Linked DNA regions of Medicago truncatula. The protein of the gene in region 3 binds, or shares a complex with, the protein of the main gene of each other region. Links are inferred from orthologs where the notes say so. Each region holds a gene or a part of one and is shown on either strand. Other genes may lie near its edges.

What was found. The genes of interacting proteins can lie anywhere in the genome.
Region 1: 50S ribosomal protein L1, chloroplastic (region 3) and 50S ribosomal protein L5, chloroplastic share a complex: the UniProt entries of both Arabidopsis thaliana proteins name them as parts of the 50S ribosomal subunit. The link is inferred for Medicago truncatula from reciprocal best matches to the Arabidopsis thaliana genes EMB3126 and AT4G01310.
Region 2: 50S ribosomal protein L1, chloroplastic (region 3) and 50S ribosomal protein L10, chloroplastic share a complex: the UniProt entries of both Arabidopsis thaliana proteins name them as parts of the 50S ribosomal subunit. The link is inferred for Medicago truncatula from reciprocal best matches to the Arabidopsis thaliana genes EMB3126 and EMB3136.

Annotation. Positions count from the first base shown.
Region 1 is NC_053048.1:36,603,925-36,611,386, forward strand, and holds 50S ribosomal protein L5, chloroplastic, read right to left. Parts: upstream 3,008-7,462; 5' UTR 2,898-3,007; coding exon 2,640-2,897; intron 1,757-2,639; coding exon 1,556-1,756; intron 628-1,555; coding exon 280-627; 3' UTR 46-279; downstream 1-45. Other genes in the region: uncharacterized protein, read left to right, coding at 6,816-6,877, 6,983-7,081, 7,241-7,443. UniProt on the Arabidopsis thaliana protein: Binds 5S rRNA, forms part of the central protuberance of the 50S subunit.
Region 2 is NC_053045.1:63,050,804-63,056,875, reverse strand, and holds 50S ribosomal protein L10, chloroplastic, read right to left. Parts: upstream 1,553-6,072; 5' UTR 1,484-1,552; coding exon 779-1,483; 3' UTR 508-778; downstream 1-507. UniProt on the Arabidopsis thaliana protein: This protein binds directly to 23S ribosomal RNA.
Region 3 is NC_053045.1:15,688,075-15,695,926, reverse strand, and holds the start of 50S ribosomal protein L1, chloroplastic, read right to left. Parts: upstream 3,011-7,852; 5' UTR 2,912-3,010; coding exon 2,540-2,911; intron 394-2,539; coding exon 214-393; intron 111-213; coding exon 56-110; intron 1-55. UniProt on the Arabidopsis thaliana protein: This protein binds directly to 23S ribosomal RNA.

The sequences.
Region 1 (7,462 bases), on a different chromosome or scaffold from region 3:
GAAGAAAAATGAAGAGAAATGAACCTAAAATATTAATAGTCCAACTAGCCAAATAATTTAGAAAACAATAGAAATCAGAAAGCAAGCAAGATCTGCATGATCATCATACAACCATATAATAACGTGATTGATGGCAACATGAAAACATCCACATCTTTTACAAAAAGAATCAATAATATTACATTACATCTGAACGAAACAAGGGGTACAACACAATCTATCTTCTGATTACAACCTTAGTTCATTATTATCTCTGATCTTGCATGAATAAAAATGAGTTTACTTCTTTGCTCTGTCTCCTCTACCCTTTGATTTTGGATCAAAATGATGAGATTTCAACTTCTTTTTGCGAACTATTTGGGTAACTTCAACTCCCTCTCTGAAGGGCATACCCATGAGAGCCAATAATTTTTGTCCTTCTTGATCAGTTTTAGCAGTTGTTGAGATGCAGATATCCATTCCTCTAGGTGTACCAATACCAGATTTCAGCTCTGGGAACACAGTTTGGTCCTTAATACCAATGTTGTAATTTCCATTCCCGTCAAAGCTGCTGATATTCACACCTTGAAAATCTCTTGTCCTAGGAAGTCCTAAGTTGATAACACGGTCTAGGAATGAGTACATTATCTGTCAAAATATCAACCAATAGGTATTAGATTTTGGGTTCAGCTATATAAAAACAAAGAAAGTTGCAAAGCATGTATAATATATTTGTATGGTTTTAAAATACAGGCCGTGACCGCGGGTGTGGACGCAAGATCAAGGTTTTTCATGTGATGTCTCCACAACCATGTTTGACCTCAATTTTCTACAGTCTCAAAGATCACAAAGAAACCACAGCCGCTAACAGATATTTAAAATCTTGTGTTAGAATATGAGCCTAAAGTAATGCAAAATACTATAATTTGAAGAAGTTCAAAATGAAACCAGATTCACATACATTGCCATGTATAATCTTTTTTTTTTTGGCAACATGGAAACTCTATCAATGTCTCATTCAGTAAATTCCTGGTATGCACTCTTTTTAAACACAAATTGTTGAAAAACACATACACAGAAGAAAAAAATCCAAACTAACTAAACTTTTGACTTCTGAAGTACCGTTCTCATGATAAAAGAGAATAATTTTACACGCTTTGTTTTGGTATGTGGAAAATAATGCTTCGTATGTAAACATATTCTATTACAAAAATAATATTTGATTACTGGAATGCATATATTATGTCAACAAAGAATATTCCCAACTCCAAAAACTTTACATGTGATCCAAAGATGCATTATACTAGACAAGTTAACAAACAGTAGCCACATGTCTCGGAGTGGTGTCCTTGAAGCACCTCAGCGCTTATCAGAGTTCATTACACCAATGCATCTAACTATACCAGCAAATTAACTAGAATCTAACAATATCATTATTCATGATACCGACATTGTTCTAAATACAAAATAGCATCAAAAATGGGAAAATGTCAAGCAATTAAACTAAATAATGATCTCATGTTTACAAAATATATTCACTAGGCAAGGCAATATCAATTGAATACGAAGTACTCACTTTTCCTCTGAGTGTCACAGCAATCCCAAGTGGTTGACCTTCCCTGATCTTGAAGGTGGCAACGGAATTCCTCGCCCGAGTCTTAACAGGTCTCTGCCCAGTGATCAGTGCTAGATCAAGTATTGCTGCATCCAAACCTTTTGCATTTTGTGCAGCTTCTCCAATACCACAGTTTACCACAATCTTCTTAACTTTAGGCACCTGAAAAGAGGGAAAAACAATATTCAGCATTGCAAAATTTGATAGATAAAATAATCTTAGAGTAAATACTCAAGTTGGTACTCGAAATTAAAGGGTTCTACTAATGTTCTATCAATTTAGTCTTCATATTATTAATATTCTTAAATGATCTTTAGAATTGCAATATGTTGAACAAATCCATCCCTCTCTATAGACATGTTATCAAACGTATCTCTGACCTTATTCACTTAATTTCAAATTCATCCCCGATTTATCAACTTAATGTCATTCTAGTCCCTACAAATACCAACGGAGAGAAAAAATTGATTAAACTTTGCATTTTCAAAAATTCATTTTGGAATATCTATAATATGAGGGACTTAATTGATACAGTTAAAATTGATTCTAGAGGTGTAGAATCAATTCTGACATGTTTTGCTTTCGCCTGCCAAATTGATTCTACTTAAAGAGAGGATTCGTGGCTTTTAATTCTAGAATTGATTACACACAGACTTATATAGTTCAACTCACTTACACGAATCTATCCAAACACAAATCACTTTACCTTCAACCCATTTTAGTCAAAATCAATCACTCAAAACCAAGTCTTGTCAACACAGAACCAAACATACACTTAATGCCAATCAACGGAGGGACACATTTGATTAAAATTTGCATTTTCAAATATCATTTTGGAATATCCATAATAATGTGAGGGACTAAATTGATACATGCAGTTATAATTTCATTCTAAATCCAAATATCTAAAAAAAACCATCACACCAAAACCAAAAAAGACTCAAACTTTAACCCACAAACCCAACAAAAACACAAAATCAAACAATTTAAACAAATACCCATTACAAAAAAAAAAAAAAAAGGTCCAAATTTCAGAAAAACCAACCTGATGAATATTAGTGTAAGAGAATTCTTCCATAAGCAAAGGAACAATTTTGTCATTGTAAGTTGTTTTGAGTCTATAAACAGTCTCTGCTTCAGATTTCTCAACCAAAACAGCACCAGAAGCATCAGCTTTCACAGACACCACTCTGTTGTTTCCATGACATAACAACGAAGAGGAAGAAAATTGAGTTGGTAAAGCTCGAAATTGAGAGAGAAAGGAAGAGGCAGAAGAGTGTAGAAGAGAAGGGGTTGTAGCCATTGTTGTGGATTGAGCAATGCTCGCTACGAGAGGGATATGGATAGCGTTGGTTGGTTAAAGTACTGTGTTACAAAGTGCCCTTGTGTTTGAGGGTAAATTTTTTGGCAAAGTGAGTGGGACAAGAATGGATAAGGGGTTGAAAATAAAACTGTAAATGCTCAAAAGGAAGAAAGAAAAAAAAATTGCTTGGAATTTGGAACCAACAAAAACCTTAGAAATCAAAACTATAAAAAATGTATTTTTATAGATAAATGATAGCATATATTTTCAATAAAGTAACTTATTTCAGGACAGAGGTAATATTTTAAGATAGTACATCTCTTTGTGATGAGATAGAAAGGATGATGAACTCCTTTCATTAGGGATTTAGAAAGAATGGGTGGTGTGACATTAATTGGTTGTGATGGGATAAGCTCACTCTTCACAAAAGTTTAGGAGGTCTAGGCTTCCAGAACGTATAAGCTTTTAACTTTTCTATTTTTGGTAAGCAAAGTTAAAAACTCTTATCCGAGTCAACCTCTTTACCATCAAGGATCTTGGAAGCTAAATATTTTTCGAGAAGGGATTTTTTGGATGCCAACCTAGGTCATAATCCAAGTTATACAAGGAGCAATATATGGAGTACAAAACCTTTACTTACCTTGGGCCATAGATGGACGATTAGTGATGATTCTCAAATTAATGTGTGGAGTATGCCTTGGATTCACAACCTTCCTACTCGCAAATCGATTAGCTTGCAATTAGTGCACCATGAGGATGTTACCGTTAATTATTTGTTGAATCCGGGTGAAATTCTTCGGACATTCCTTTGGTACAGTCAATGTTCAACCCTTCAGATGTTGCATCAATCCTTTCCATGTCTTCCTTCACTTGTGAATATGTTGTCAAGCTCATATGGAAGGCTACTACTGATGGTTCATACACACGTTAAACCCGCTTATCGCATATTTTTCGAACTTATCACCGCTACCTTTACTACTACAGGTGAAAATTGTTGGAACTCTATATGGAAAGTGTAAATTCCACCGCGTGTCTGTGCCTTTCTATGGTGTTCAACACAACATTGCTTGCCCACTCGAGCAAACCTCATTTTCCGTGGAATTCCTTGTGAAGACTCATGTGTATCATGCGATCAATTGACAGAAAGTCAAATGCACATTTTCTTTGTTTGTCTAAAAGCGATCAGTTGTTAGGAGTTTATCGATGTCCACCACATCATCCAAGATTTACTCCTTAATTTCAACAACTTTGCATTTATGTTATTTGATTTAATTGAGAGGTTGTCTCCACATCAGAAAGCTCATGTTGTAATTACCCTTTGGAGCTTGTGGAAAGGTCGTAATGTTTAGCTTTAGGAATCCATGGATAACTCTCTCTTTATATATAAACACTAGTGCAAAGGGCACACTAAATGAATGGAGTTGTATGCAAAAAACAAAGGCACCGATACACAATACAAATTATGAGTTTAGGGTTGAAAATTCAAAGTTGAGGAAATTACTGAATCGTGACTAAGTGACTTAGTGGTAGAACCCACTATCTATTTTATGTGTCTATCTCTCTCCAAATTGTGTATTCCAATATAGTAACAAAATTATCAATGATCGACAAACATATATGAATAATTCCTTAAAAAAAACATGAATGAATAAAATGAGTTATAATCATCTTTCATTTCACATATAATTAGTTGTCCTATTATATATCTGAATTGTCATGTAGTTTTTATTTTATTTTTAGAGAGAATAGTTTTATATAGTTCTAAATAGTGAGTACTTATAATGACTTTTAAAATAATGGTAAGGAATTTGAAGAAATAAGCAAACTTTAACTAGTCGGTTCTAATTTTTTAAGAGACAAACTCCGACTTCTTTGTAAGTTTTATTTCTCCATCACTCAAGAGAGGGAGGTGGTTTTGGGTTATTTTTTGGCCTAAAAATCACCCTTATGAATCTTTTTTTCTTCCTTATCTTAATCTAAATAAGTGGTTTTTACATAGATTTCATTTTTTCTTTTTGTGTTTTTCTCGTGATTTCGTTGTCTCAATGCGGCGTTGTGTTGTTTGTCGTCTTGTGCGGTATTGCTTGATTTTTTGTCTTTGTGGTGTTCGATTGATTCTTAGTGAAAGATCGACATCAATCAGTTACAAATTCAATATGATTTGGATGTCAACATTAGTGATATAGAGACATGAGTATTTCATATTTTATCATATTATTTGTAGGTATTTTTTCATTGTACGTAATCAACTTGAATGTTGTGAGTTTGTTCATAGATTTATCATTTACGTTTTTAACGATGTGAAATATGTAGTTGCATTTGACGTACTTTGTTAATTTGAATGAATACATATCATTTTGTTATAAAAAAGTGACTTTCGCAATGTCACACCATGCTTATGCACTCAAGCATATTTTCCTCAATTTAGCAACTTTTATAAAACTCAATTCTTTTATTTTTTTTTCCTCAACTTTGAATTTGATGATACAGTAATTTATTTAAGTTATTTCAACCATTACTTTGGTATCCACACTACTACATCACGATTCCTCCGATGAAGAAAGAGAAAAAAATAAAAAAATGTTCATCATTCTATGAAACACGTAAATACCTCAATTGGAGATGCTTTAAGTGATTAATTCTGAGTAAAAAAGAGAATAACGATTAATTTTTATATATCCAATATAAAGAGAATATCAAATAGTTTTTCTCCTAAAAAAAATATTTAAATAAATTTATTAATCTAACGCCTACACAAATATGACCACTATATTAATAAGAAAAATCAAAAGAGTTGAAAGTATTATCCGAATTAAATGATGATAATTAAATCATTAAAGATACATACACGAAATAAAATATAATCGAACATTATAACGTGTATGTAAATAGAAGATGTTTCAATTCAAAATAAAGACGATCTTATATTCAAAAGAATTTTATATATAAAGATATCAATTGCGTTTGAACTCAAAACCTAATAAGAAAAACTTAAAATTTATTTTTTAAAAAGAAACTTAAAATGTAGTAATTGTTATCTTCTTACTGTTAGATCAAAATTAAGAATTAAGATTTAGATAAATACGAATTTTTAATCTAATCTAACTTACAAATTATTTAAAACCATAGGTTACATTGCTACTTGCTCTAGATAATAATAAGTCCATAATAGCAACAATCTCTCTCTACTTTCTCTCTCTTCAAATCCCTTCTCGCTCACTCCCTCGTCCTCAATCCCGATCCATCTCTGCAAAATCACCCCCAAATTCTCGATTTCACGCTTTTCCCTTCATTGATTCTCTCTTTAACCTTCGATCCGCATCGTTAATCTTTACAATTTCAAAACCCTAGTTTTCTTTCCTTTTTCAATTTTGTATTTTTATCGCACAAACCCTCAATATTTGTCATCCCTTAGATTTTTCTCGGACCTAAATTTCATGGGTATTCCACAAGTTTTTGAATTGAATCTCTATTTCCTTTGAATCTGTGTTCTAGGACGGTTTTGTGTATATACCAATCTTTACGTTTCATTCGGGAATTTCATTGAAGGAGAGAGTAGTTTTTTCAATTTTTTTGGTGGTGGTTATTGCTAGATTTTCGTAAAGGTTGAAGCTTTAGAGGGTTTTGGATGATGGGTCTTGTTGATTGAGCTGGATCAGTGACTGGGATTGGTTCTAGGTTTTGAAATTTTCATACAAGTGCTTTTAGAATTGAATTATGAATAAGCAGTGATTGTTGGACTTAGAGTTGAAGTTGGTCAAAATTTCAAAATTTGAGCATATGTTATGAATTATATGTTTGATGCTGACTAGGGCTCTTTAAGGATTGCAGTAACACTCGGCATTGTTCATCGATTTGATATATTTGACATTGGTTAACAACTTTGTTTAGCATCAAGTATTGTGTGGAGGGAACGCAATGGATTTTGAAAACGAAGATCAGAGCTTGTTGGATCAAGCAACTGATAGTGGATTGCAAAAGTAACCTTCTATCTTGTTTGATTAGCTTGTTGTATTTATTTTTTACAATGTTTTAATTTGAAATTTGATGCATGTTATAACACCTATTTGTTGGTGGTTGTTCAGGAAGTTGAAAATTTCATACACAAGAGAGTTTTTGCTATCGTTTAGTGGATTGGATATTTGCAAAGAGTTTCCAAGTGGGTTTGATCGGTCACTTTTAAGGTATAGTATGCTATATCGGTGGACCGCTGCATTTAATTTTTCCTTATTATATATATATATATATATATATATATATATATATATATATATATATATATATATATAGTCAATTTATGCTCTTTCACTTATGTGTTATGCCTTTTTTTGTATGGAAAACAGTGAATTTGAAGACGCTTCACTGGATAGACAGAGAAGTACCGGTGCTCTGTCAACACATAGTTTCAGACGTAATGAATACAGTTCATCCCCTCCAACCAGAGGGGATATGAATAACTTTTCGCGGGGAACCCATGGAAAATGGGATTCTCGCTCTTCTGGACGTTCAGATAGAGACGGTGATTCTCAATCAGAATGGGATTCAGGTGTTTACGTTTGACCGAC
Region 2 (6,072 bases), about 47 Mb from region 3:
CATAGTCATTGCAGTAAGTCAAGAAGTTCAATTGAATGAAGATTAAGCCATGAAACTCACAGTTTCAGTTGATTTTCCAATCCAACTTACCGCACTAAATATTAATCCAATTGAGTGAATGTGTGGTATTGTTACATAAGGTAATACATGTTAAGAGTTCTACGTTGGATAAAATATGACCGAAAAGTTGGTTTTGTAAGGCTTAAGTTAATCCCAACCCAAATTCTGAGACTCGGTATAAATGACAAACACTTCAAGTTGAACGAAGTCTCCAAAATATAACACTCAAATAAACAAAGGGAAAAAACACAACATCAAAATGGTACATGCACATAATAACCAATAATTAGTGAAATTGCATCATTCAATGGGAACAAAATTATCCATCAATCATCTCTACACTAACAGAAAAAAATATTGAACCATTCGACAATTTCTGATACAACAAGCTCAAAGCATCAAATGCACAGTTGTACACATAATCTGAAGGAACATAAACAAACATACTCAAATACAATAACCAATAATTAGTGAAATTGCATCATTCAATTGGAACAAATTATCCATCATCAGTATCCTAAGAGAAAAAATAATTGCATCATTCTACATTTTCTGATACAACAAGCTCAAAGCATCAAATGTACACTTGTATTGTACACATAATCTGAGGGAACATAAACATAAATAAACATGCTCAAATACAATAAAACAAAATCCACATTGTAACATAATTATAAAATCATAAAACAAATACACAAACAAGATTGAAAAAACTTATCTATAGAACAGCACTACCCTGTTCCTGTTCTTCAAGCTTCTTAATATGTGCCTTAAGAACCATAATAAGTTCTCTAGCAGGAGCTTGAATGGTAGTAACCAAAGCAGAAGAAGGACTTTTCAATGAACCCAACAAATTAGCATAAATCTCGCCACGTGTCGGCAATGTTTCAAGTTTCTTAAACTCATCAGGACCATAAAATTTCCCTTCAAAAACAGCACCAGTAAAATCATTTTCTTCAAGCTTCTTCTCTTTCTGAAAATCTCTATAAGGCTTAATAGCAGAGGGAATCTCTTCAGTATGAACAAACAACCACACATTCATACCTGTCATACATGGCTTCAACGTCTCCCATTGTGTTCCTTCAAGTGCTTTATAAACCAACGTGTTCTTCGCAACAACGAGTTTCGTTGTTTCAGGAAGAGTTTTTCGAAGTTCTTGAAATTGTTTTACGGTGAAGCCTTTGTAGTTGATTCCGGCGAGGAGGTAACAGTTTTCAAGTTGTTCTTTTACGGTTTCAACTGTTTCTTCTTTCTTTGTGCGTGAAATTGCGGCGTTGATGGATAAACGGTGGGTTTTGGAAATGGGTCTATGTTTGTATGATGTGGGTGGGTTGAATGGGTTAATGGGTCGGGTTAGGATTTGAAAAGATTGGGTTTTGGTGGATGGAAGAGAGAAGCTGAGTAGAGTTGCAGTAGCTTCCATGGTGATGATGGAAATGGAAGATGAAGAAAACTGAAAATGGGATAAAAGGGTTGGTTTGATTCATATTGGCTTATCTTATCCCTTTGTTTCTTTGGTTTTTCATCAATCACAATGGGGGCAATATGGTACTTTGCAATGGGTTTCAAATTTATTTTATTTTTTCAACTTTACTTATTTTTTAAATACTTGTATTAACTACTCAATAATATTAATTACTACCTCCGTCCCTAATTATAAGACCGTTTTGAAAGAAAAAAAAATTGTCCCTTTTTATAAGACTCATTTTCTATTTCCAACTACATTAATTATTTCTTTACATACATGCCCTTATTTATTATACATTTTTTTTCAATCAACAATAAATAACATGTTGAAAACATAAATCAACACTCTCTTAAAAGATAAAATTGTAAAAATAATAGTAATTACAAACATATTTAATAAAAATATTCACTCTCTTAATTCCCGTTATTTTTTTAAAAGGGTCCTATAATTAGGGACGGAGGTAGTATTCAATAACTTGTCTTCGTGACCTAAGCTTAGTTGGTATGGATTTATTTTTTAAATACTTTAGAAGTCTATTAACTATTCAATAATTTATTTTCGTGATCTTAGCTCGGTTGGTATGAACAATGCATAATATATGCAAGATCTAGGATTCAAAACCCGGCCACCAAAAAAAAAAAAACTATTCAATAATTTTGAAATTGGTTTCTAAACTAAATAAAATTATAATTAGGTTAATAAATTAGTAAATAATTTATAGTTAGATTTATGAACAAGGTTTTAGTTGAGTACTTAATTTTTTAAAAGGAAATGTTAACTTATGCTCTTGAGACATAAGTTTAGAAACTAAACATAGAAATATTTTCTTGAAAATTGTGCATTCAATGTATAAAAATCTTAAATTTTATCTTTTCAATACAAAAGTTATATTTTAATTCTCTTTTTAGCTTTTTAACTTGTATCCTTAAGACACGAAGAGTTAGCATGACTCTTTTCTAAATAATGTGTAATTGAGCTTGTATATTTTAAAATAATTTGTGCAAAGGTCTCTAAACTTGTTGGTAATTGTGAATTTTATTATAAATTATTAGAGTTTAAGAATCATTTGTAGACTTATTGCATTTTTGTTATGTGTATTTCACCAAAATTGCAATTATGCTTGACTTAGTCTAGTTAATTGTGATTGTAATTATTTAGCAGAATTTGAGTTTGATTTTTAGTTGTAATAATTTTCGATCATATTTTACTTACCTCTGGTCGAACTATATTTGAATGACTCGTTTTTCCTTAAAACGAGATGTTAACACCAAAAACATTAATAATTACATTAACAGATTTTTAATCCTCAAAGAAAATGACTAATTAATTGAACGTATTTCCAACAAGTTTTTTTTTTTTAAGGAAATGTTTGTAGTATTTCATTAGATTTTAATTCACAAATACACAGTGCCAAGGCATGAGCGATTTGATTGGTTTTTCTCCGACTAAACTCGACAAGAGAGTTTTTAAAAGCAAAATTACAATGATGTCTACATTCATACATGATTTTATCAAACTCAGTAATAACATTGCTTCCTTTCTGTAAATAATTCATCACCTTCATTGAGTCAAGAATAAAATCCATGTTATGAGAAACAACAACAAGGCTGTGAGGAACGATCCTGGTTCAGTTAATGTGCAGGCACGTGATGAGAAACAACGTTTAGCTGTGAGTATTCAGGAACAGGCGAAGAAAGTGCAGGTGAACCAGAATGTTGTTTCTTTCTATTTTACAAATATTCCTCTTGATATATCATATGTTTCATTGAGACAAGGTTTTGAGGTATGTGGTATATTGGAGGATGTTTACTTGGCACGTAAACGTAATGTTAATGGTGGTGCGTTTGGTTTTGTTCGTTATGGCAAAGTGAAGGATGTAGAGAAGCTCTTGAAGGCTTTGAACAATGTCTGGTTTGGAGATTGGAAGGTGGTGGCTAAGGTGGCGAGTTTTGGTAGGAATGGAGGTGGTAGGGGTGAAGGCAGTGTTAGGGGAGAGGGAGAAAAAATTAATGAGGGAGATAAAGAATTAGAGGGAGAAAAAAGAGAGCTGGGGGGAAGGAAGGTTGTTGACGGAGAGGCTCAAGGTGAAGGGAGGAGTAAGGGGCTTGAGGGAGATGTAGCTGCGAGAGGAGGGGTGGTTAGTAGAGAAGAAGCTGAGGCAAGGGTGGAGAAGAGGGTGAATGTGAGAGAACCGGTTGGTGCGAAGGTGGTTGTGGGAGAGGCTGCGAAGATCCACATTCCTAAATATACCTCCAAGGATCAGGATGTTTTATGGGCTAGTAGGGGATGGTTGCTACGGTTTTGAATGGAGATGCGATCCCTGTGTTGCAGCGACGTATTTTTGATGCGGGCTTTGAGAATTTAGACATAATTCCTTTGGGAGCTGATAAGGTCTTATTGAGAACTGAAGATGATAGTGATGTTAACTTATTGTTGGCTGAAGCATCGGAATTTTTTGCAAATTTTTTTTCTAATATTATGAACTGGAGGAAAGATATGGTGGTTCGCGAAAGAGGAGCTTGGGTGAGGATCTATGGGGTGCCGTTACAAGCGTGGAACTTGGATTTTTTCAAACTTTGTGTCTTTGACTATGGTCGTTTGTTGAAATTGGATGATTCCACTCTGGAAAAAATCCGGTTTGATTATGCTCGGGTTCTTATTTCTACGCCTTCTGTGGATTTAGTTATTTCAGATGCAAAGGTGATGATAGATGGAGCTATTTATGAACTTAAAATTGTGGAGGAGGGAGGGTTTTCGTTGGGTGAAGATGCTTGCTTATCGGAGGATGAGGAGGTTAAAGAAGAGGAGGATATGGAGGATGAGAGAAATATTGGGGATTTACATGTTGATGGTGAGGTTGATAATTTGATGAAGCATCTATCAGAGGAATGGCAGAAGGAGCAGCAGGACCTTCAGGTTCATAAGGTTATTCCTATTAACGATTTTCCTTCACTTGTTGAGAGTCCGGTGGTGGGTACTAAAGAGGTGTCGAAGGGTGTTACGGAGGTTTCCTCTCAAAATCCTTGCGCAGCTCAAACAGTTCCTTTACAACAAGCTAACAACAAGGTTGTTTTGGAGGATGATATCGCACGAGCTGATTTGGATCGAATTTCTTGTAGTGGTGCTAAGAGGAAGAAGCATCGTACGTCTTCATGTCATGTCCTCCTAGTCGGGTCCATACTGTATCGGCAGGTCCGTGGAGTTGGGAATGGGCACGTCAACATAAGGAGTTGGTGATTGGAGATGCAGCACCTGTTGAAATTTTAGACTTTAACAAACAGACTTCTAGTGCTATTAAAGTCACGAGAAAGAAGGGTAATAGTTCTTTTCGGCACTGTGCAATGAATTTGAAGCGTATTGCGAGGTTATCAGAGGAAGACCGTAAGGTTGTTTTGCGTGCCTTGCGCAAGAAGAAAAGGAGACATAAGGTGGTGTCAGATACTCATGTTAATAAGGTAAATTCGCCGGTTAGCTCTTCTGTTAATGATTCACAGTCATCTGTTAATTACGACTGGTCGAGTTGGTTAGTACTTCATGGTAATAGCAAGGCTTTATCGGATGATGTTAGGGGGATGGGAAAGTTAGTGGGGGTGAATTTTCAAGGGGATATTCAAAATAGGTTTGATGTGTTGTCAGGTGTTGGAAGAAAAAATAAAGAGGTTGATGGTGGAGAGAGGTAAGGCCGAGGGTTGGGATGAGGAGGTAAGGGTGTTTGTGGTGTTGTGGAGTGGGTAGTGTTAATGAAGATTATTCCTTGGAATGTTAGGGGCTTGGGTGGGTTTGAAAAGAGAAGGGAAGTGAGTAACTTGGTGAGGGAGAAAAATCCGTTTATCTTATGTTTACAAGAATCTAAATTATCTGTTGTAAATGATTTTGTGTGTAAAGGCCTATGGACTGATAACCGTGTTGATTTTTCTTATCAACCTTCGAGTGGGGCTTCAGGAGGTTTAATAACTCTTTGGAATTGTGAAGAGGTTGTGGTGTGGTCTTCGTTTAATTTTGATCATGTGTTAGGAATTCAAGGCCAGTTTGTGAAGACGGGTGACAAGTTTACTATTCTAAATGTGTATGCCCCGTGTGATGTTAACCGACAACAATCTCTTTGGCAAAATATTTCAGCTCGTTTGACGTCGCTGTTGGACGAGAATGTTTGTGTGTGTGGAGACTTTAATGCGGTTCGATGTCCCGAGGAACGAAGAAGAGTGGGCAACGCTGTGAACTATGCTGGTAGTGCAAGTTTTAATGCTATGATTGATGATAACGGCCTTATAGATTTACCGCTTCGGGGTCGTAGGTTCACTTGGTATCGAGGTGATGGGAGGTCGATGAGTCAGATTGATAGGTTCTTGCTGTCAGAAAATTGGAGTTTGTCGTGGCCTAATTGTTTTCAGATGGCTACGTCGAGAGGTTTGTCAGATCATTGTCCTCTCATGTTGTGTGTTGATGATGCAAATTGGGGGCCAAAACCGGTTCGTATGTTAAAATGTTGGGAGAAATTCACTGGTTATAAATCTTTTGTTTGTGAGACCTGGAATTCGTATCAG
Region 3 (7,852 bases):
ATCAGAACACTTTTAATTAACTAGAAGTGTAAATGCGAATCGAAAGCATAATCACCTTGAGTAAGAACGGCTATTTTTATGGGTTTTCCAGTTCCCTTCGGCAGACTTACCTATTAAGAGAAGATGGATGAAAGACTCGGAATTAGCAGATGTATTGTATAGTTTTCAATGTGCATGTATATACTAGAATCAAACGAATGGCAGGAGACTCACTGTAGCTCTTAACTGTTGATCATTATATTTAGGGTCAATGTTGAGGCGGAAATGGGCTTCTACTGTTTCTACAAACTTGGTTTTAGCTGTTTCTTTTACCAAAGAAATTGCTGTCTTCAAGTCATATTCTTTCTTAAACTCCCTCAATTTTTGAATTTCCAAGAATCTCTTAGATCTCACCTGGTGAAACATGGAAAGTGAAAACAACAATTATTCATAAAATAAATGGGAAACATTTTCCAAACATGAAAAATTCAATGATCCAAACAATCAACTTGATCTTAGAAAGAAACAAATGGCTATCTTATAACATTTACACCATCGCTATCCAAGTAGGCAATCAAATATGCTGGAACATAAAGACCAACCAAGCAAAAATACTGCATATAATGGTAGGACAAATAGCACAGTAACTACTGTTTATATGCATCTCTCACCTTCACTCATGCTAAATTTCAGAAGATATTGGAAGCTAAATGAAGTTATATAGAACAATTTATTTCCACCAAAAAGAAAGTCTGGCTATAAATATGGCTCAACTAAAAGTAAATGAGTATGTAACCGTGTATATTTTATGAAATTATTTATATCCTCTGAAGCTCCTATAACATAAATACGTGAACAGTGAGTTTTTATTTTTCTTCATCACCACTTTTTAGGAGTTCTCACCTACATAAGATGTTAGTCACTAAGCAAGTTTATTTTAAAATATCATTCTATTACAGTTATTCAACAGATGGAGCAGCTTGTGCTAACCAAATGAGCAATGAGCACAAAACATGAAATTAAGATATACAGTTATGTATTCATCCATTTGTAGTCATTAGCTACTGAAGAGGATTGTCCAACAATTTCTCACTATCTTATATCATTCTATTATTTCTTAAAGCTTGTTTGTAATGTTACAAGATGGCGATACATGATTAACTTCCCAGGTAAAACTACAGTTATTTCCTGTTTACGTGAAAATTCTTAGGTACAACTACGGTTATTTCATGTTTACGTGAAAAATGATATAGACAATTGCCAAAATATAGCACCCATAATTAGCATCAACTAATAGTCCAATACCCACAACACAGCTACAAGGTTAGGTATAAGTGGTAAATGTCCTCCATCTAAAGCTACTGACTCAATTGATACCCTCACCAGTGATATAACAATTTGTGGATAGAGTTCCCTCACCTCTTGGCTGAACACATCCTAGATAATATGTGTGAAAACCATAGTCACGTGATTTTTAATTCTCTTTGGTACGTGGTACGGGTATACGGTTGCTGCCTACCATGTATTGGTTACATTGGGGGGTATAATCGGTACATTTGGGTTCAGTATAAAATGCTGCTACTACTTTTGTTTACTTCTTTTATCAAATTAATAGTTATAAATTGCCTGCCGTAAAATATGGTGACTGCATATCTTTATAGTCTTTCAAATAATATCACAACAACAAGCATACAATTTCTTCAACTATCCTTCAGAACAATTTTTCCAAGTCTCCCACGTGAACGATGAACCCCTTCATCTTCCTAAATTCACTGGTTCTAAAAGAATTTCCAATCATTCCACTGCCGATCGCAATGAGAAAAGAGATTCAACACATCTTCCTTTGACTCTTCTACTGTCATAAACACTCACTGTCTTTTGTCTTACTTTAAACTGGATCCGGATTCAGTGACTTTAAGGCCGGTAATTCAAGGTGACTTCGGTGTAATTGTGTGTTATGAGAGAAAGTTAATAGATAAGTCACTGAATCCGGATCTCTTTAAACCATATAAGATAACTCAGTTCTACGCTTTTAACAAATTATCTAGAAAATTGGTGAAAACCAATTCACCAAAGTAAAACAAATTGGTATTCAAATACCAATTTTTTGTTCGTAATTGTAGTACAATCTCTATAGCACCCATACTTCTGATTGACGGCGTGACTGATACTCCCTCCGGTCCTTATTATAAGAAAGGATTGACTTTTTAGGTTCATTATGTAAGTGATGTATCTAGTCTATATTTACAACAAGATACATTAATTACTCAATGAATCTAAAAAATCAAAAGTTTCTTATAATAAGGACCGGAGGGAGTATCCGACACGTGCCACTGTCTAACACTGAACTTACATTAGTTAAATTCTATGTCGACGTGTCAATATCGTGTCAGATGTTCGTGGCTACGCTTCTTATGGTCATAGCCACCAACACAATTAATTCCCTTAATAAATAAATACTAATAATACACTAATAATCCACAAAACCAGAACCCCAATTGTAGTTAATAAAATTCAACAAAAACCCATCAAGAAAACAATAGAATTTGAAGAAGATTACCCTATCACTCTTGAGAAGTAATGCAGCTTTCCCTTTCTTAGGCTTAGTAGTAACAACAGTCACAGTTTCAGCAACATCATCAACGTCATCTTTCTCATCTTCATCAACAGTTTCAGCAACATCAGCGGCGACAGCGGAAGAAAGTAAAATCGAAGACCTGGACTGGTAGGTTAGATTAACCGACTTAGAAGGCTTCAAAACGAGGGGAGAGAGAAAGAAGGTTCTGGGAAAAGAACGGAGAGAAGAAGGAGAAAGATCTTGGGGGGTGAGAATAGAAGAAGAGGGGTGTGTTAGCATAAGAGATGATGATGAAGTTGTTGTTGTACATGAAGCCATGTTTGGGAAGAGAGTGTGGTGGTGAAAGCAGGACATTTAGGTGGTTATCTATTCGTTTTGCGATGGTGATATGAAAATGAAATGAATTTTGAGGAGATAAGAATGTGATGTGCCCTATCGTCTTACAAATGCCGCGTGATTTCTTCTCTTCTTCTTTCTTTTTGGCATATACTAATACTTATTTTTCATTTTTTATTATTACAAAAAAAAAAAACAATTTTTTATTGTATTATTGCACTAATAAATTAAGTTTTAATTCGTCTCGTCAACTTAACTCAGTTCATAGGGACAAATATATAATATATGCAGAAGCTGGACTTTGAATCTCATACACCGCACTCCTTCACATTTATAATATGTGAACTTCAACCACTACACAACTAGACAAAAAAAATCGAGGTTTAATTCCAAAGTTTTGATGTAGTGGTGAAAAAATAAAAATAAATGCTATTATCCTTCAAGAAAAATTATGCTATTAGAAATTTAGGGCGTGTAAATGATGCTCATTGTTCTAGTAAGAGAGTGTGTATATTCTAATTTATTTTTAACTTTTTTTATTGAAAGCCCATTTTAGTTTTTCAAAAATTCACGAGACTTAATTTAGTCATGTGAAAAATAATTTGTATTTATAATTTGGTTTTTTCTATCTTTCTTTCATACCAAATTATTAACAATATCTTCTTGGATTTATTTTCTTTCTTCTATCATTTTCTTATCAACCAAAACAAAGTGTAAAGAGGTTAAATATTAACTTTGTCCCGATTTAGTTTTTATCAATGACTAAAGTTACTTTTATTTTTCTAAGAAACTAAATTGGATCTTTTGAATTTTCTCAAGGACTAAAATGAACATTCACATTTTATACATAAATTGATTTTTTATGAAAAATAAATTAAGTTTAAAAGAGATTCATAGTTGGAACAAACTAATGTTATTTAATATTTGATATTTATTTTTGTTAAACATTAGTGTAAATTAGTTTACACAGATGGTTGTCCTTGTCCTAAACAAAATTGTGCGGGTGGTTCATATTTTCTTATAAAATTGACAATGCAAATTATGCTTGTGTGGTTCTTATTTAATTTATTTATAATATTGGGTGGATTATTGATGTTGATTATTTTAGTATGACTACAAAATAATGAGGATAAATTTTTTGAGGGAAAAATAATGAGGATAAACTATAACTACAAAATAGACTACCATTGTATAAGTGAATGGTGTTTTGGCTAAATACTATTTTTGTGCAGGCGGATGTGACATGGAGGAGGACATCAATTTTTTTGTCTGGTAGTCTAGTAGTTAGAATTCACCTTATAAGGTGAGTAAATAGTGTGTCCGAGGTTCGAATCCCGATCCATGCATATAATAATGCATTGTTCTACCAACTGAGCAATGCTCACGAGATTCAACTTTATTATTTTTTTTATTTTTGAGTTTTGCAGAAAAATTTGGTTTGATATTTATAATTGAATATGTTTAATTACGATTCATCCGTTTATATCTCGGATCATTTACTTCAATTTGTATGAATTTGTGACTACTAAAAAAATATTTTTTTTGTTCCTTAATTTGATTTGACTTTTCTGTATTTGGATCATTTAGCAAAAAAGAAATTCAAGAGTGTTTAAACAAAATAGGTTTTCTTCATCTTCTAGAGAAAATTAAACTCTAATCTTTATGGTGGCTGAATGCAAATCATCCAACTTTTGCTTCTATCTATCTGTTTACCGGTGTTTTCGGCAAACTACAGGTTAATTCTGATTATTACAAGAAATCTCAGGACATGATGTTCAAAGGTTTTGATCGAAAACGGTTTGAAAAGGCCACAAAATGCACTCAGGTTACTTAGAGAGCAAGACGGATTTTAGAGTAAAAAGGGCACTGTCTTTCGACAGTTTTGAGATTGCAAGTGAAAGCAAGATAAAATTAAAGGAAAGGGTAAAAGTTTAAACACATAAACTTAAAAGAAAATGTAAAATGCATTGCATTAAAAGTAAAATTGTCTACGAATAAGTTTACATACATTATGTATAACTCGTTTTCCTATGCGTCGGTAGTTTTAATGTTGTAGAATTTCTATAAATGATTTGCGACCCATTTTCCGACTAGGAAACTCTTATTTATACATAAAGAAAATAACTGGCAAAAGACTGATCTCATGATCAACACTTCCTCCATCTTGGACAACCTCTTGTCCCCAAGTTTCCACTAAGGAAACCGCCTTTGAGCTTGAAATTGTATCTTTCCCGCCTTGATTGCTTGACTTCGATGCAATTACGCTTTTAGCATTCCTCAGACGAACTCTTGACCATGCGCGTTAGGCTTGCTATTTTGTCGAAATCCTCAAATTAAAATGAAAAAGCCTTCGATTCCTGCAAAGTTAAAAGTCAACTAAATGTTGACCACATTAAATGACCCTGTCGAAATTACAGGCTAACAGGATGCCCCCGAAAAATGCCATTTTCGACGAACCTCATCAAGTAGGAGAATATTGACATTTTTTAATTACACAAGTTACCTTGAAAAGATGACATCATCCCACTCATTAATTACCCTCCAAACATGATTTTCAGTTTCTTTTCCTTTGATCGTTTTAGGATTTAAGTGGGCCACGTCTTTTCACTTGGACAACCTATAAGTCTATTTATTTCCCTAAGGCGCCACTTGTCGTTGATCGAACTCTTCATGTTCTACCCTTCGAAACTCCCTATTTTTACCATCGTTGTTCCTTTCTTCACAAGATTTCCAAGATTTTATGTCTCCCAAGGCCATTAATTATCCACTATCTCAAGGCGTTTTTACCTTCTTTCGTGCACGTTGTAACGCCCTCTTTGAATTATTTGTTTTATTTGATTATTTTATTGAGTTTAGAGTCTTTTTGAATAATTTATTTGATTTATGATAATGTGTGTTATTTTTGTGTTATAGGTTGGTGTTTTAGTAGCATATTATATTATAATATATATTATTTGGTGTAGAGATATTATGTTATTTGTTAGTATAATATATATGTTATTTGGTGTAGAAATATATTATATTATATTATATTATCTAGTGTAGAAATATAATTGTTATAGAAATATATTTGTTATTTGGTGTAGAAGTATTTTATATATATATATATATATATATATATATATATATATATTAAAATAGAATATTGAGACTTTGGGAGCTGATTTGGGAATTTAGAAGAGTTTAAGAGAATAAGTGGAGTTAAGAGAAAATAGGTAGGTTAAGGTTATAAAAAGAGAAAAGTGAGAAGTCAGAATAGTTTTTTCACGTACAACCAGTTTTTGGAGAAAAAGGGAGAAAACCTAGAGAAGAGGAGGAACGAGAAGATAACCTTGCAATCGAATTCTTAAGGTAAGGGTGGGACTAACATTCAATAATCTTGAGTCTATGATTCTGAAAATTGTATTTGAGAATTAGGGTTAAGAGTGATGATTGTGATGATTTTGAATGAAAGTGAAGTTGAATAATATAGGTTGCTTTTTCTGATTTTTCTTTTCATCTCTGCCCCGAATTTGAAATGAAATCTGGTATTGATAGGTCCAGAATTGGTCTTAGGTGTAAACACGAAAGTTGTAGGTATGGATGTTAGCTTTGTAATTCCGTTGGTCTGACGTCAAAACAATTTATAGAACTTGAGTTATGGTCATATTACTGCATGTAGGTCACAGTGAATTTTTATGAATTTCAGCACAACTTTTTCCGAATTTGAAATGAAAACTGGTATTGATTGGTACAGAATTGGTCTTAGGTGTACACATGAAAGTTGTAGGTATGGATGTTAGCTTTCTAATGCCATTGGTTTGACTTGAAAAGGATTTATAGAACTTGAGTTATGGTCAAATTACTGCACGTAGGTCACAGTGAATAATTGAATATGATTGATGAATTAGTATATGTATGTATATGTTTGTGAATACGATATTGTTCATGATTGATGAAGTGTTATATGAATGTATATGTTTATGAGTATGATGTTGTTTATGATTGATGAATTAGTATATGTATGTATATGTTGTGAATACGATATTGTCCATGATTGATGAAGTGTTATATGCATATATGATGTTTTAAGATGTTGATTATTATTTGATGTTGTTATATCTTGAGGTGTTTAAGTGTTGTCTATGTTGCTGTTGTTGGTTATGTGAAATGTTCATATGTCTTATGTGGAGAATATATGATGTTTAAGTTGTTGATGTTTTTCATTAATATTGTCATGTTGTGAATTGCTTGTACTGTTTCTGTTGATGTTGCATATTGATCAAGATGCAGGTGTTGGTCTAAGTTGTAAAGTTGTAAGTTTTCTTTCCAAAGTGTTTCCAAAGTATTGGAGTATTAAGTTGTTAATGTTGTCTAAGTTGTTGATATGGAGTTGCAAATGTTACATATGAAGATTATTAATGATGGTTACTTGTTGTATATGTTTAAATGATGCTGTCTTGCTGTTGTGATGAATATGATTTACTTTGATGATTAATGTGAGAATATTTATATATTGTGAAAGATGTTGATATGAAGTTGTAATGGTTATATTAGATGATTATTGTTGATATTGACTTGCTGTAAATTATTTGATGGTGTTGCCTTGCTGATGTGATATATTAATATCATTAAGATGCTAATGTTGATTTAAGTTGTTTAAGTTGTAAGATGTTGATCCAAATTATTGGAGTAATAAGAGATGTCTAAGTTGTTAAGTTGTTAAGATGTTGAGTCCATTGCATACTCATTTACGTTGGGTGAGGGCTTGATGCTCTGTGAGCCTATTTACGCTCAATATGTTGGGGGTTTGATGCCCTGGTTGGTACCACATGCATGATTAAGAAGTTGAAGTTGCGTTGTCGTTAAGTTGTCATTTGTCAATGAGTTGTTAATAAAGAACTAAGTGAAGTATTAATATTTATTAATCGTTGTTGTTTAAGTTATTATGAGATGATAAATATGTGTTGTTATATTATG